Linked DNA regions of Coturnix japonica. The protein of the gene in region 2 purifies or fractionates together with the protein of the main gene of each other region. This does not show direct contact. Links are inferred from orthologs where the notes say so. Each region holds a gene or a part of one and is shown on either strand. Other genes may lie near its edges.

The links. Proteins that work in one complex are often made in the same cells at the same time.
Region 1: the proteins of NPHP1 (region 2) and NPHP4 purify together in Homo sapiens (co-immunoprecipitation; 6 studies listed by BioGRID and IntAct, with this or other methods). This does not show direct contact. The link is inferred for Coturnix japonica from reciprocal best matches to the Homo sapiens genes NPHP1 and NPHP4.

What each region holds. Positions count from the first base shown.
Region 1 is NC_029536.1:572,671-580,459, reverse strand, and holds part of NPHP4 (nephrocystin-4), read right to left. Parts: intron 7,623-7,789; coding exon 7,462-7,622; intron 6,885-7,461; coding exon 6,722-6,884; intron 5,533-6,721; coding exon 5,428-5,532; intron 5,324-5,427; coding exon 5,124-5,323; intron 5,054-5,123; coding exon 4,836-5,053; intron 4,674-4,835; coding exon 4,484-4,673; intron 4,331-4,483; coding exon 4,250-4,330; intron 4,134-4,249; coding exon 3,977-4,133; intron 3,681-3,976; coding exon 3,595-3,680; intron 2,809-3,594; coding exon 2,723-2,808; intron 2,394-2,722; coding exon 2,222-2,393; intron 1,301-2,221; coding exon 1,121-1,300; intron 32-1,120; coding exon 1-31. UniProt on the Homo sapiens protein: Involved in the organization of apical junctions; the function is proposed to implicate a NPHP1-4-8 module. Does not seem to be strictly required for ciliogenesis. Required for building functional cilia.
Region 2 is NC_029518.1:4,649,919-4,658,385, reverse strand, and holds the start of NPHP1 (nephrocystin-1), read right to left. Parts: upstream 4,905-8,467; 5' UTR 4,803-4,904; coding exon 4,734-4,802; intron 4,550-4,733; coding exon 4,485-4,549; intron 3,308-4,484; coding exon 3,247-3,307; intron 2,826-3,246; coding exon 2,689-2,825; intron 2,536-2,688; exon of another isoform or gene 2,313-2,535; coding exon 2,105-2,312; exon of another isoform or gene 1,901-2,104; intron 1,804-1,900; coding exon 1,702-1,803; intron 1,287-1,701; exon of another isoform or gene 1,032-1,286; coding exon 943-1,031; intron 458-942; coding exon 415-457; intron 29-414; coding exon 1-28. Other genes in the region: MTLN (mitoregulin), read right to left, coding at 5,187-5,585; two pore calcium channel protein 1-like, read left to right, coding at 5,506-5,526, 5,665-5,747, 7,389-7,503, 8,041-8,169, 8,407-8,467. UniProt on the Homo sapiens protein: Together with BCAR1 it may play a role in the control of epithelial cell polarity. Involved in the organization of apical junctions in kidney cells together with NPHP4 and RPGRIP1L/NPHP8. Does not seem to be strictly required for ciliogenesis.

The DNA of each region.
Region 1 (7,789 bases), on a different chromosome or scaffold from region 2:
CACTGCCCGCAGGGATGGTGATCTCAAAGGCCTGCAAGGCACAGAACAGCACTGAGGTCAGACAGAGCCTAGGCTGCTTTGCTGTGCACCCAAGGGGCAGCCCAGCACACCTTGCTGCTCTGTCCCACTCCCCTTCTGCTCCGTGCACTCAGTTCCTGCCATCAGCTACACGTGGAACGACCTCTGAGTAAAAGCATCTCTCCTCAGGCTGCAGTTTGCATCACTACATCCACAGAATTAATTATGAGACCGGGTGACAAAGGGCCAGAGGAGCAGCTGGGGACTGGCCAACCAACGCTCCGACTAATTAATTTATTTCCATGGGGATAACCACGGTGCTAATTCAGATAACATGGCAGAGCACAGGGAGTGGGGCTCGAGCTCATCAGGAGTGGAGTGACATCAGTTTAAATGCTGCTCTCCAACCTCATCCAGCTCCGAGTGTTCCAGGAAAAACATTTCTAAAACGAACACATTAACTGGGAGATCTAATTTGCTATCTTTGAGCAAAGCCCTAACCTAGTGCAGTGCTAATAGAAAGCAGCATGCTGTAACTTTAATTTCACAACTGGGTATACTTCAGAGTTGACATTCCTCAGCGTGGAATTGCCTTCAAAACAGGCTGAAAGATACTTTACGGTGGGCTTCAGTGAGATTATTCAGGCACTAGAAGGCTAAACATGTGCTCCAGTGTTTAAGAGAGGTGGGGAAATGGGCATAGGAACAGGCAGCACGGGTAGAGTCCACACACATCCTGCAATTGTGGCAGGTAAAGACAAGTGACCCAGAGTTACACTGCAATACCGCTTTAGGAGATTAACTCAAAGAGGACAGTTAATCTCTAATCTGTCAGTAATTCTTAGAAATTGGCTTTAGGATCCTTGTTCGTGACAGTTGGGAATAATGGCAGCGTCTGCACGAAGACCAAGCGCTCGGCTGGCAATCGATAGCACAGCAGCACAGCCCCCAGCACACATCCCTCCTCATGCACAGAGGAGGAGAATACATGCCAAAAGTGGGTGTAGATGAAGCAATAAGCAGCAGCCAGCCCCGGGCTATCAGCATGGCACAGCCCCCAGCCCAATGGGGTCACCATGCTGACCCTCCTCCCCGTGAGTACCTTGGAAATGAGAGGCTGCCGGCAGGTGATGCAGAGCAGCCAGGAGGACACCAGCTGGTGGCACTCCACATCCACCAGGTTGAGGTAGAAGAATCTGCTGCCAGCCCGGAGCGGCCTCACACCCACAAACAGATCCACGAGGCCATTGGAGGGCAGGAAGAACGCATCTGCTGGGTCCACCTGCAAACACAGAGCAGAGGAAGGAGCTCAGGGCCCATCAGAACCTCCTCCCTCAGTTCCCGATGCTACAAGTCACAAAAAGCCATAACAGAGGGTGTCCTCAGTGAGGAGACAGCATCAGCATCGCTCACAGCTGCCGCCAGCATCCCCCCCTGAGAGGGAGCAGAGGAATAAATGAAGACAAACGGCGTGCAGATCGTTTTTGGAAGGCAGGCAGGCACCCCATGGCAGGAACAGCTGGGAGGGAATCTGCACCTCCATGAAGTCCAGCTCAGAATACAAATGAGCTCTGATTACACTAAGGAACGTACACCTATGATAGGAATATTTAATCCCATCTATATTAATGTAGAAGATCTGGCTGCATGACAGTGCCCATACCAACAGCAAGAGGACCCTACCAGCACTTTCCCAAGAGCTGCAGGGATCTTCTCCTACCCACACTGCTCGCTTTGAGCACTGCAGCAGAACCCAACATCAGCACAGCCGAGGCACAATGCTGGTATGGGATGGGCTGCAGGCAGTCCCCAAGCCTGGATTCAATGGCACACACCTCCGTGCTCCCATCCTCAATGGGATTCGTTCCTTCTTGCAGCCTCTGATAGCTGGGATTTTTTTCCTTTATTTATGGGACAGGAAGGGAGTTTTTGTTCCTTTCATTACTCCCATTTACAATTATGACTAAATGAATTCTAAAAGAAATTAATAGTCTTCAGATAGTCTCATTAACGCAGATAATTTGCCCTCTGGGGTTTTGTACCGACGATCCTACACATGACAGCTTTAATCAAGAGGTAATTATCACAAAGGCAGTACATTCTCCCTAACTCCAAACGGGACCCATTGCATTTCCAAGGCTCACAGTGCTACCAACCCAGGCCAGCCCCCAAGGGGACCCAGCAGGGACCCCCATGGCATTACCTTCAGTTCATGGGGATGGGAGCAGAACGCCTTCACCCTGCGCAGGGTGCGGGTGCCGCGCAGCGGGACGGCCAGGCGGGAGAGCTGCCCTGCAGTGCAGCTGACATCCAAACGCTGCAGGGAATGCAGGTAGACCTGCCAGATGCGCTGCGGTTTGGCCAGCCAGGGATCCCTGCAGCAGAACAAAGCAATGGCACAGTCCATACTTGGTGCATTCGGCCCCAAGAGCACCTCAAGCTTTGGGCAAACGTCTCCAAAGGAATTTCAGCCTTGCTCATGCAGAGAGAATGAATTAAGCCTGCAGACAGAGAGGCCATCTCCTACACTCACACCATTATTTAAGAGAGATTGGAAAAGCAAACGGGTATTTTGGGAAGCCTCCTGCCCAGCTCAGCAAGCAGAGCTGGGGAACCAGCAAGAGAACACTGATGGGAAACGCTCCTCCTGCTCTGCCTGTGCTCGGGGTGGTCCCTTCTCTTCTTTCTGGCTCCTGTTACTTACGTATAAATAGCAACAAAAAATGTTTTGATCTGTGGGCTCGGTCCTCCAGCTACTTTTAAGAAGACGTCCTGTGGTTCCCCAGGACCCTGCGCACAGAAATCAGAGCATCGTTAGGATGGTTAACCTGGAGATCAAACCAGCTAATGAGGACTCCAGGGTTTCCTTTCTATCAAGGAAAAAAAAACACACCAACCCACTTACAACAGCAGATGCTTTCAGGATCTAGTTAAAAACCACGTTATTAAGTTATCATACAGCTTGGTTGAGCTCTTCCAGTGTTTTTAATTACAAAAGAGGACACAAACGACTTCTTGCATTCCAGGTTTGCAGCTGTAATCAAATTTGGGCAATTTTTCCCTAAGTTTCCTAACAAGCCATAATCCAATTACCATTGGATCATGCACTGGAAATTAGTAACTACCCTTCACCACTGCCTCTGTTTATACACACACACACACAGATTCATTTCCACTTCTATCTCAAGCAGCAGAAAGAGAGCCCTGCAGACCTCACAGGGAAGCACAAAACAGGAGCGGTGTTTGGGGAGACACACAAAGCACCTTTCAGGGCTTGATCCAAAGAGGAACATAGTAAAGAAGACACCAGTATTGATTTGCACCAGGTCAGGAGGGAAATGAGGCTGGAACCAACCCTGAACTATTTACTCTCCAGTAAAACAGGCACAACATGAAGCATCGGATACCAAAACAATGCAGCTTGTTTCAATTGGAACCGAAGGCAATTCTGCCTTAATCACAGCCAGTATTTCATCCCTATAGGCCGATAAATCAGGATGCTGCCACGGGTTGATTAAAACAAGAAACCACAGCAGAAGGATACAAGACAAAGCGACATAGGAGTGTAAGTGGTACCATGTTTTTGGTTTCACAGATCACGTTGGGGTCACTGCAGCGGACATGGACCTCAGGCTCACCACCCCGTATCCCCACCAGAGCTCCTGGAAGAGACAACAGCACATGTAACATTACAGAGCGTTTTATTCATGTTTTATTCTACACCATCACGCAGCTGTGAGCTGCAATCCCTTATGTTGAGCTACGGGAGAACAACCGGGTCAGACCGGTTCAAGAGAGTACAAAATTAGTGCAAGCAGATGGATAGAAAGCAAGCAAGGAAGCCCAAAGGCCATAGCAGAATCATGAACAGCCTTTGACGATGCCAAGAAGCAGAGAAAGCATCCCGGATCGCTCTCTGGATGCCACCCCCACCTGCTGGCAGAGCCCTGAGGATCACCTGGGAGCGTGTGCCATGGAGGCAGGCGGATGGCCTTCTTCAGGAAGGTCAGCTCGGGGTGGTAGAAGCGGAAGGTCTGATCCACCACGTGGGGCCGGGGCTCAACCTTCACCTGCAGCAGCGCAATGGGTTTGCCCTCACTCACAGAGAAAGCCACCTGCATGGGGGGAAGGAGGGCAGAGCAGCTCAGTGCCAGACATGGGAACAGCATGGTGAGGTCAGCACTCCATTGCTGGGGCTGGCAGGCAGCCCCACGTGTCTCTGCATCCCCACCTGGATGGTCTTCATCTGCACAGCCCTTGACTCCTCCTGCATCCTCCCTGCATTCTCTTCCTTGCTCAGCCCCACTGGCCCCTGCAGGAAACAGAGCACTTGGTTTTGTGCTTTTGTCATGGAAAACCATATCACTTGGTTTTGTCATGGAAAAAGCCCCATGACACATAAGCAGTGTTTCCTTGGCAATGTCACCACACTCTGCACCCAAACACGATGCAGCTCCCAGCATACCAGCAATGCTGCAACAACTGGCTCTGCAGAGAACGTCTGGTATCGGAAGGGAATGTGCACGGTCTCCTCGGGGCGCAGGTAGACCTGAGGCTTGAGGTCATCCCGCAGGTGGAACATGTCCTCCTCCAGCGGGGTGGCTGTGTGGGTCAGCTCCTTGAAGTGCCGCCATTCCCTCGGGTCCAGTATGACACTGGAGGAGCGAGAGATGGAGCTGGTTGGCAGCACGTACCACCCCATCACCACAGATGTGTGCTGGGAAAGGTCCAGCTCCAAACCAGACAGGAGATGGTGAACAGACCCCACGGGCACTATGAGCACAAACACACACACACAGATGGTTGTTGGCCACTACCTGAGCTCGGGGTGATCAACCTCAACCGTCACCGTTTGCTGGACGTTGTAGGGGTTCTTCAGGACAAACTCAAAGAATTCAGCCGTCCCCAGCGTGGCATACAAAGTGTAGGTGGTGGTCATGGCCTGTCTGAGCACTTGGGTGATATACCGGTGCTTGACGCGCTCCCGGTAGGCACTGACGATCTGCAGGTACTTCATGTGCTGCTCAATGGAGCCCTGCAGGGATGAAGGGGACAATAAGCCCAGAGGCAGCACAGGTTGTGCCAAGCACCCGGCCTGTCCTCACCATGTATTGTGGGATCCTGCAGATAGCACCATCCTGCTGCTGCTCCACCGCCAAGCACTGCGGCTCGTGCTGCTGGATGGCTGTGGCTTCATGAGACTCACACAAGCGTTCTGGGATCTGCTCCAGCTGGTGCCTCCACAGAATGGCAGCCAGCTCAGGATCCACCTCAGCCAGCCTACGGGGCCGAGATACCCTGACATCTGCAGGGACACAGCACTCAGGTCACCAGCTCTGTGCGAGGCAGGATGGCACCCCCCAGTCTGGGGATGGCAGGGAGGGGCTGAGCACCCCCAGAAGGACTCACCAGAATGCAGGGTCAGCTCATGGCCACTGCCTGGAGAGGGCACAATGTGGGTGTGGGGCAGTGATGGGCAGCCAGGGCTCACGGGGGTCTCCCCACAGTGGTGACCTGGTGGGGCAGAGCCTGGGGTCAGCCCCATCTCAGGGCTGGGATGGAGTGCTGGGCTATGCAGACCAGCAGCATGTAGTAACAGCAGGAGGTTACAGCCAGCCAGGACATGGAGCAGACAGTGCTGGTGATAACCAACAGAAAGACAACAGCCAGCACACATCCACCTCCTCTGAATTACCAGGCACTTACATCCCAACATTTTCTTCCCCTTAAATTGTCATAGATCTCTTAAAGTGTCACAAAATCTACCGGAAAATGTTATTCCCACCACAGATCTTTACAGACAGTTTAAAAAAGTGGAAGCAAATATCTCATTGCTTACAATGTTCTCTGCATTTCACGATGATCCCTCTGGAATCCTATTGCTATTGCACTCCATCTATCTTTTCTCTAAGTGACAGAGCAGTTTCCTACTGAACAGCAATGGGGACGTCCAAGTGACTTAATGTCAACCTTTGGAACCAGCTCAGGTTTCCATCCTCACTTGGTGACGTTTCAGAACCACAAACCTGCTCCACCACCACTTCATGCCTGGAGCCCAAGGCACCAAGAGCCCTCAGACACCAACTGAAGGTAGTTGGAATTTACTTAAAGAAAAGGAAAATAAACAAGTGTTTTGAAAGGCCAGAGCAACCAAAGGGCCGCTGCTGTCCTGGAATGGAGTGTTTTTCCTTTCCCCTTTCTTTTGCCAGGTTGGAGTTAAACTCCTCTCTGGGTTGTGAATCTCACATCCCCCCTCCCAGGAGCTTATCATCCTTTTGCAGGCAAAGTAGGAAAATGACAATTTAAGATATCTTCAGAAGAAAGATTAGCTCCATTATAAGATAAGAGTTTAAAACCTGGAGTCACTGCACATTTATAGGACGGTGAATTAAATATAACAAAATACCCGCTGCACTCCGGGATGAATAACACCCTCAGCAGCTCTGGTTTCTGATGCAGGCTGCTCTGCCATTCATCCCATCCCTGCTACCCACCTGTGTATCACTGCCTGCATCCATCAGCCTCAGTGCTACCCTGCAGGAGGTGGGGATGGTGGGCAGAGCATCAGGGCGCTCCATGCCTCCAAGCTCAGCATCTGCCTCCCCCAGTCACAGGGCTGACACCCTCTGTTGGGTATCTCAGAAAAGCTTTTTGCTTTCTGGAACATTTTGCAACACTATGAAGGGCTCCAGAGGGTACTCACCAATGTTGGCCAGGCAGAGGTGCAGGCGGCCCCGCACGGCCACACGGACACCCAGGGGTCGCAGCACATCCCTGCCTGCTGCTGCATCCTGCTCATATACAGTGGTGCCAACCTCCAGCTCATGCAGAGTCCTGACAGCCGGCCGGCCCTGGCGCAGCAGGGGCTGTAGAGGAAGCAGGGATAGGGCAGCACCCACCTCCAGCAGGATAGAGGCTGCTGTGCCTCTATCACAGCACAGAGCCCCATCACACACACCCATCTCCCACTCTCAGCAGATGCATTTCTTTCCCAGGCTGCCCCAGACGCAGCTCTTTCATTGCAGCTTCTCCCCAGGAAGATAACAGCCAGGCGTTCGGGTAACTAGTTACTGGGGCAACTCAGATCCAAGAGATTAAGAGATCTGGATAAAGATGTCTCTGCATTTCCTAGGCCTGCTTTAATTTTTCTATCCAGTAAGCCTCAGCGTGGCACAGAAGTTCCAGGGAAGAAAGTTAATGCTCCGCCGTCGCTTTCAAGGATAAGATGACAAATCCTGTGATTACAGGCTTGTCAGATTGACATCAGTCTCCGTTAAACAAAGTGGCTGATAAAAACTTGATTACTGAAGACTCAAGGGTAATCTAACAGCATCTCGGCACAGGACAGAAGGAAGAGTCAGACCCGTCTTGAAACTCTTGCATGCTAAGCAGTTCTCCCTCATCATTAGCAGTCATTAAGGCTGAGGGAGAAGGGCTCCTTACCTTCAGCTTAACAGCAGCAGAGCCGACCAGCAGCAGTGAGTCCCCATCCCAGACGTCCATCTGCAGGCTGTGCTCAGCCAGGTAGTGCATGAAGACACGCTGCTCCCCAGGCCTCAGGAAGGTGGAGTCCACCGCAAACCTCAGCTGCAGCCCTGGGGCTCCTGCAAGAAACAGCACAGCAATAAAGGCTTGTATTGCATCCCCTGGGCCCTGCCTGCACACAAGCATGCTGTCACAGGGAGCATGGAAAGCCAGGTGTGGGGCTGCTGCTGAACCAGAATGGTGTGACAGCACCTGAGCCCACCCCCAGCACCCTCCTATTCTGTGC
Region 2 (8,467 bases):
TGGCTGCCAATATCTCTACTGTGTCACTCTATTAAAAAACAAAAGTGGCTATTTGTGTTCCTGCTGTTCGACAGCTAATTTGATTCTCATTTACCAGTCATACACAACCACTAGCAAAGACCTGAGGTATCAGCCACCTAACTTTACTTTGAAGCTGGTTTGATCCAATCCAAGGAATTACTTTGTGTTGTGTATGACCCCAGACAGACTCATTCTGTTAAATCCCCCTTCCATTACAAAGCAGTAGAGGCACAGCCTGTTAACAAAATAAAATCACGCCCATGAAAAAGAACTGGTGTTCATTAGAAACAACGGTCTATACTATGAGACGTGGTGATTACTAAAAGTCAAATCTTGTTTAAAAATAATTAACATTAAGATAGATTATATTGATACGCAGGAGATAAACCCTACCTCTGTGATAGCTTTTCTTACAGCACTCCAGTGAGAGTCTGTTCTGGAAGAAAAAAAGAAAGATTTTTCTTTCATAACATGTTATAGTCATGTGGACAAAAATCTGAACACTAAATACATGCTTGCTGCATTATCCAATGAGCTGAAACATGAGGTGACATGAGGAAGGGTGGGCTTCCAGGTGGTGGCAGAGAAGTGACAGAGGCAGCTGTTCCTGTGGAGAAGCAGATTTTGGTTTGGACAGGAAGAAGGGCTGAAGTTCAGCATGAAAGTCCATTCCAGCTTCTCCATTAGAACTTTTTGTCAGTGAGGCCCAGGCTCTTGGAAGCCCAGGGCAGGCGGGAAGCTGGGCCTTTGCTCAGCTCTGGACAAAGAAGACTGAGGGTGGATGGAGGGCAGCAGAGATACCCCCACCAGGGCAGCACCACAGGATGGGAAAGGCCTTGGCACCCCCAGCACCTGGTGGTTGCTATGAGGGTGGCAGTTGGCCAACGTTATACTTATTTGCCTTTGCATCATTCCATTTACCTTTTTTTAATTTCAGTTCCATCTGCTGTTTCATCCACCACTTCTATGTGTCCATCACTTTCCTCTTGGCTTTCATCTTCATTATGGACCTATAAATCAGATTCAGAAGGGATAAGTGCTGGATTTTTTCACAGTTGTGCTCTTAAAAATGTTTTCTCCAAACACAGCACACGTGAATGGCTTAGAAGAGGAGATCTGTCTGTAACGACTGTCACTGAACAACTCTGCCCTTAGGTCTGCAGCTACAGCAGGGGATTGGACTATTCCTACAAAGACATTCTAAGCAAGAAAAGAGCCACCCAACAAACCCTATGTTCTGAAAAGTGCTGTTCCACTGCGTAAAGGTCAGTCTAGCAGAGCTCAGTGAGCCAAATTGTGTACCCACATTTACACGTCCATCACAGCTGTACACTGGATACATGCCCAAGAATAAACATACTAACACAAGTAAGCCATTAAAAAAACAGGGGGAGGGAACAAAACTTTAACAATCAATTTCAAAAAAGGTCTTTTCCCATCAAATCACCAACACAACCCGGCTTTTACATGAACTGATGCTTCACATGAATCACGAAAAGCAAGGATTAGTCCACTACAGCTTGGAGCCTTCAGAGCTGATCTTTAGTGGCAGACTACAGCACTAAAATACCACTGCATGCACACGTAAGCACTGTGACCGATTTCAGGCAGCAATATGATTAATGTACATAGCACTACAGAGGTGAGGCTAGAACAGGAGGCCGCATGCAGCACACTAACCGCCAGATAGGTCCTAGGCACGAGGCCTCTCTCCCCTTTTGAGTTCTCGGCTACCCACCAGCCATCCGCCTTCTTATCATGTATAAGCAGGACTTCACCTTTCTTTGCCATTAGGAGAGATGGAGAAAAAAGACAACCAAATATTTCAAAATGACACCAAACACGATTTGAATAACAATTCAATTGTTCTCTCTCACAGGTCACAGACTACAGCCACAGATTCTGCTGCTACAGAAAGAGGCAAAAGAACGCTGAACTGCAGTAAGGGAAATGCAGACTGGGGGAAGCCTTTCTTCCTCAAATCTTTCTGAATCCCAAAAGCATAGGATTTCATTATTGCCACCACTTAATACAGAATGACCCGCAGCACCAACATGGCAATCAATTCTATGGGCCTGCTTACCGTAAATGTGAGGTCCCCTTCCTGCTGTGCATTAAAGCTTCCCACTGCAATGCATTCTTTAACATCAGGATCATCCAAGTTATCCCCATCTTCCTCATCTGCTTCTTCACTTTCTTCTTCCTCACTGCTTTCACCATTGTCATCAGCACCCTCATCCTCTTCTTTATCTTTGTGTTCTCTCCGAGAATCTTTCAGACTCCCCTTGTTCCTACCCAAAATAAATCAAACTTTTTATTCACTTTTTAATTTTATATATATATATATATTTTAATTGCTGTTAAAGCCTTACAACACGGGCTTCCCTGTGTTATCCAGAAATCTCTTTGTAGACTCTGGCCTGACCTGAAATGGTTTTTCATCCCTAAGAATACAGACCACAGTACAACCTACGTTATATCTCAGCCATTAAACAAAATCCTCGGAAAACTGCAGCGAGGCTCTCTTGATTTCATTAATAAAACAAGCCCCAGGAGAGCCAGCTCTTTTGCAATAACTAATAAGGAGGATAAGCAGTCTTTGAAGGTTCTTTCCAGTGCTGTATGTATGACACTATTTAAGTACAGATGCTTGTTTGGGTTACTTACACCGTGTCCTTTGTAGCTGCATTGTCCTTATCCAAGACATGACAAAATTTCTGCAGCTGCTGGGATAGCTTTAGCAACAGCTTTTCTTCTTCTTCTTTCCTCTGATCGTAATTCCCCACAGGCGCAGGCTCGTCAGCCTGAGGAAGGAAAATACAACAAACCTGGTGTTTCTCTACAGTTTTACAGACACATCTCATGAGTTTTGATATTCCACAGCAGTGATAACTCCCTGCTTATGATATTTTATTGCCTTTTACTTCAACAAAATGAACTTTCACACTACATTTTCAAACTACATTCTCCTCTCCCAACACAATGGAGTGGGTTGATAAACACCTTTAAATATATTGGGTCAAGAAAGATTTTAATGCGCATAACAAAGCATTAAGAATATGCTTTCAGATCATATACATTAATCTCAGAGATCCCATTCGTAGGTTATGTGGTGCTAGGCATTACTTTCATCCTGAGGCATCTGAAATTGAAGCAGGTTACCATTCTCTGAATATTTACCACAATATGTTACAGGGAAAACCATTAGCAAGTCTCTATACCTACCTTTTTCAAACTACGAAGAGTATTTGTATTCTCGTCCACCAGTTTCTGCAGCTGAAAACACCTGCATTGAAAGCAAGACAGACAGCGTTACCTTACATCTGGTTGACGGGATATTGAATCACAAAATCACTTAAATGCGTATGTTTAGATGCCCATACCTTCTCAAAGCTGTATGAACACAAAGCTTTACAAAAAGAGACCAGTTTAATTCCGTCTGTAATTCATAAACCAAGCGTTTGGTGTGTCCTTAGAAGCAGTGTTTTAACAAAACTCAAGAAGCAGCAGCAGCAGATTTGGAGCAGAGGGACAAAATAAGATAATCTCCTGGCTCTGACAAGTTCTTGGTGTCAATCATTCACACAAGAATCCCTGAAGAACAAAGGGATGCGCAGCTTCACTGCTTGTTACCTGTGATGTGCAAGTTCCTGCTTTAAACAACTTCAGCCTTGAGGATTTCAGACAACCTGTGTGGTTACCCGTGCTACATCACTTCACAGGCACTTGCTGTCACTGCCCACACCCAGCACTGGGCAGGGTGCTGAGGGAGCCTGTTGCTGTTGCTGTAGCCTAGTGCTGCTCGGGGATAAGGCAGGAGTGCCACTGCACTATGAAAGCTGAACCCCTGCTTTCCATAATGCCCCAAAGACCAGGTAACACTGCATTAAGTAGAGGCTCTGGTGACTTCCCAGGCTGAACCTCAGCAAGAGAGAGCTGGTTCTGTGTCCTGGTATAGCATAAGTGGAGGCAGGTGATGAGTGGTGTCCCACAAGGGTCTGTCTTTGGATGTGCACTTCTGCATCTTTATCAGTGACTCTGACAGTGGGATTGAGTGTGCTGCTGACAGCACGCTGAGTGGTGTAGCTGATACAGCAGGGGAAGGTGGGATCGTTCAGCCTGGAGAAGAGAAGGCTGCGGAGAGACCTCACTGCGGCCTTATGGTGCCTCAAGGGAACTCATAAATAGGAATGGGAGCAAATTTTACAGTCTGAGTGTCAGGACAAAGAGGAATTTGAGGTTAGACGTTAAGGGGAATTTTCACTCAGAGGCAATGAGACGGACACAGGCTGCCCATAGAACACAGAATGCCCCACTCCTGGTGGTGCCCACGGCTGGATGGAGCCCTGGGCAACAGGGTCAGGTTGGGGTCAGCAGTTTAAGGCGGGGGTTGGTGCCCAATGGTTGTTAAGGTCCGTTCCATCCCCGGTACCGAGCTCCAGGCGCCCCGCAGCCCCGCTCACCTCTGCCTCAAGGCCTCCCGCTGCCCCACGGCCGCGCCCGCGCTCTCTGCCCGCAGCGCCTCCACCTGCAACACAGAGGGGTGCCGTCAGCTGCCGGAAGGGCTCCCCAGCGGCTGCCGGTACCGGTACCGATACCGGTACCGGTACTGATGCCGATACTGATACCGGTACCGGTACTGATACCGATACCGATACTGATACCGATACTGATACCGGTACTGATGCCGATACTGATACCGGTACCGATACCTGCGCCCGCAGCTCCCTGCTCTGGCGCTGCACTCTCTGCAGTGGGCTGCGCGCCCGCCGCCCCGTCATGGTCGCTGGGCAACGGGCGGCGCTGGGAGATGGCGTCACTGCCGGGAGCGCCGCGAGCGTGGGCCGGGATGGAGGATATGGAGTGTATGGAGTATGAACACACAGCAGGAACGAACACACCGAGTCCGACACACACACTCGTTTAATGCCCCGTTTAATGCCCCGTTGGTGCTGCCGGGCGCTGCTCCGTCTCCCCGCTCCCCACTCGTTCCGTCACGCCGGGATCCGCCGCTCGCTGCGCGCCGTGTCCTCACCCACGGCAGCGATGAGCCCGCGGTGCGGTCGGTTCGGTCCGTGTGATCAGCGCTGGCTCCGGGCATCGCCGGGCGGCGGGTCCGCGTGGCTCCGGCCGTACGATCGGGAGCCGGGCAGGGCGGCGCGGGGTCAGGCCGCCTCCAGCTGCTGCCGGGCGGCGTCCAAGCGGCGCTGCAGGCGGCTCTGCCTCCAGCGCAGGAAGCGGCGGCGGGCGCGGGCGGCCTGCCAGCCCACCACGACACCGGTGGCGAAGGCGGCCAGCAGCGCCCAGCGCACCGAGCGGGGCCTCAGCGCATCCAGCACCATCGGGAACGTGGCTGCAGCGCTGCGGGCGGACCCTGCGGCTGCCGCTCCTCCTCCCGGCCCTTCCTCCGCCTCCCGTTTCCGCCGGCGGGGCGGGCCCGTTAAATGCCGCGGGGTCGGCGGGAGGTGAAGCGTTTCCCCGGCCATGGCTGAGGCTGCTTCGCAGGTAGAGCCCTCGCCTCGGGCTGGGAGGTGGCACGGGGTGTAGGGCGGCGTGTGCTCCATCCCCGCCTGCGGGGCAGGGATATCGCCCTCTGCCCCCCTCCCCAAGCACCCCCTGACCTGTGTTTCTTCCCCTCCCCAGGAGCTCCTGCTGGCTGCAGCGTTTGTCTCTGATGCTCAATACAACAGAAATATCCCTTTTAAGACTTCCCCCGAGGCTGTCAGGTAAGGGGGCTGCAGGGCTCCGCTCCCCCAGGCAGCCTGGGAGGGGGCTGCGGTGGGTTCCTTCTCCTAACGAGTAGTGGGGCAGAGGCACGGCTGCACTGAGAGGTGCTGGGGGTTGAGAGAGCTGCAGGTGGGGATGTGGCACTGAGGGGTATGGTCGGGTTGGGCTTAATGATCTCAAAGGACTTACTCCCCAGGAGGGGAGTAAACTCTTCGAAAGGGCTGATAATAGCAGGACATGGGGAAATGGTTTTAAGTTAAAAGAGGGAAGATTTAGGTTGGATGTTAGGGGAAAGTTCTTTACTAAGAGAGTGGTTAGGCCCTGGAACAGGCTGCCCAGGGAGGTTGTGGATGCCCCGTCCTTGGAGGTGTTCAAGGCCAGGTTGGACGGGGCCCTGGGCAACCTGATCTAGTAAATGTGTATGTTTGGTGGCCCTGCCAGGCAGGGGGGTTGGAACTACATGATCCTTGAGGTCCCTTCCAACCCGGGTCATTCTGTGATTCTGTGTGATTCTGTGACTTCTCCAATCTCAGTAGTTCTCTATTAGGGGGAGCCGGCCTGTGTCTGCTGAGCTGAATAGCACTTGTGAGGCTAAGTGGCCTTCTTGGGTGGGATTGTAAAGGGCTGAATTGAAGCCAGGATGTGTGTATTAGATACAACTCATTGCATCTTGTGGGAAGACAAATTAAACCTTTTCTTTCTTTTCTTTTTCTGAAGGTAAAAACCAAAATGAAGCTGTAGTGCTGGCAGAGATTAATGAGTATGGACAGCTCAGTGCTTGCCTGCATGGAAGGAAGTGCTGGAGTGTGACTGCGTGGGGTGTGAGTTACAGGGTTCTGGTAGCCAGGTAGAACGGCTCTGTGCCAGCTGGGTTGGTAATGGGGGTAACAGCTCACATGCACCAACACTTCAGCTACTCCTACGAGCTTGTGGTGACTCTGCTCAGGTGCTTTTTAGCAAGGACAGTGGCTGCTAGAAGCAAGCAGTCACTAACAGCTTGTTAATGGGCAGTCAGGTAGATGAAATTCCCAAAACCAAAGCTGTTTTGCCTGTAATATTGACTCTCCCAATTAGCTGCTGGTACAACATCAGTCCCACTTTTAATTCTCTTAGCTTAGCTATTGGAGCTTCAGGGGCTTTGTACCACACAAGTGTGTTTGCTGAGTAGTTGGACAGTTTTTACGTGGTGGTGTCTTAGTGCTGTTGTTAAGGACAGCGTTGTCATCCACTTTATCACCTGCCTTGTACCTTTGTCTGGAGTGATGGTTGGGCAGGTGAGGTGATTACCTGGCAATGCAGGCAGCCTACCAATTAGCAGAGAAACCTGGTGCTCTCTGTGTGGATGTGCTCCAAAAGGAGCCACTATTGCAGCCTCCTGTGGACGACAGAGCTGGATGTGTTCATGATTAATATCAGCAGTCATCAGAGGCTTTGCTAGAGGGGACAGGATACTTCTTGACTTGTGTGTGTACATAGAAAAGCTTACTCTGCCAGAAACTTTTGCACACTTCCCTTTTCTATCTGTGTTGATGCACCCTTCTTCCTTTACTGTTTGGGAAGTGTGTGCTGTTTTTCCAGGACACCATATGGGTATGTTGGCTGAACCCCTTATTTATGATGCCTCTGCCTTCTCTCTACAGGCTTTATTATCTCTATAACCACTGGTTTATGCGAACAGCCACCTACTTCTTCATCTTTCTCAACCTCTCCCTTGCAGTGTTTGAAGAACCTGCTGTGTATCCACTCCCTTTCCTGGTGAGTTTCCAGGCAGTGCAGAAGTGATAATGCAGCTACTATTGTGCTACTCAATGGTTCATGCTTTAGACACCTTATCAAAGTGTAAAGAGGTGGTTGTTGCTGATCTTCCTGTTCATACTTCCCATATGCTGGAATGGGGACAAAAATGGGCATAGAAACTAGATAGGGTCCCATGGACATCCATCCACAGTGGCTGATTTGATCGGGCTGTGTCGCAGTGCTCCCTTCCATATCTTCAGCCTTTGTTTTTTTCTGTACCGATGCTTGTGATTAATGTATTCCTTAAATCCTAACCAAATACAAAGTTGCAGGCTCTAACCTGCACTCAACAGGGAATTCCACAAAAGGAAGCCTACAACTATTGCCAATGCATGAGCATATGGAACAGCCAGCAGCAAAACTCACTGGCGAGACTTTTATATGGGCCCTATTTATTTTGTCTTGCCTCTACCTCAGCCTGAGAATCCTTATCTGTATGAAGAAGACTAGAGTTGCTTTTCTTAGTCCTGACATGAGTCCCTTGTCTGCCTGCAGGCCACTTCCTCAGTGGAGGTGTTGTGCCTTCTGGTGTTCTTTGGCCGATTGATGCACTTTGCCAAAATCACCCGTCGCAATGTGTTTTGGAAGGATACCAAGAACATCTGCATCATGGTCGCAATCCTGGTGAGCTGGGAGTCACAAGGGCTGAGCTGGGCTATGTGGAGGCAGCTTTTTGTTCCTGCTGTGTCCTTTCTGGGGTCTGCTGTACGAGGGCCGTGGCCAAAGCAATTGGTGCATCAGCCTGTTCTCACAAACCTGGTGTATTTGTATCTGCCTGGTCTAGATGGTGAAGGTAACTGGATTGGCTCATACATGGTTCCAAACTTGTTTCTGTGGATTTTGATCCTCTTTCTTCTACAGCTGTCTCTGACTGATTTGGCCATATACGGGGCCCTCAGGATATACAACATAAAGAGTGTTC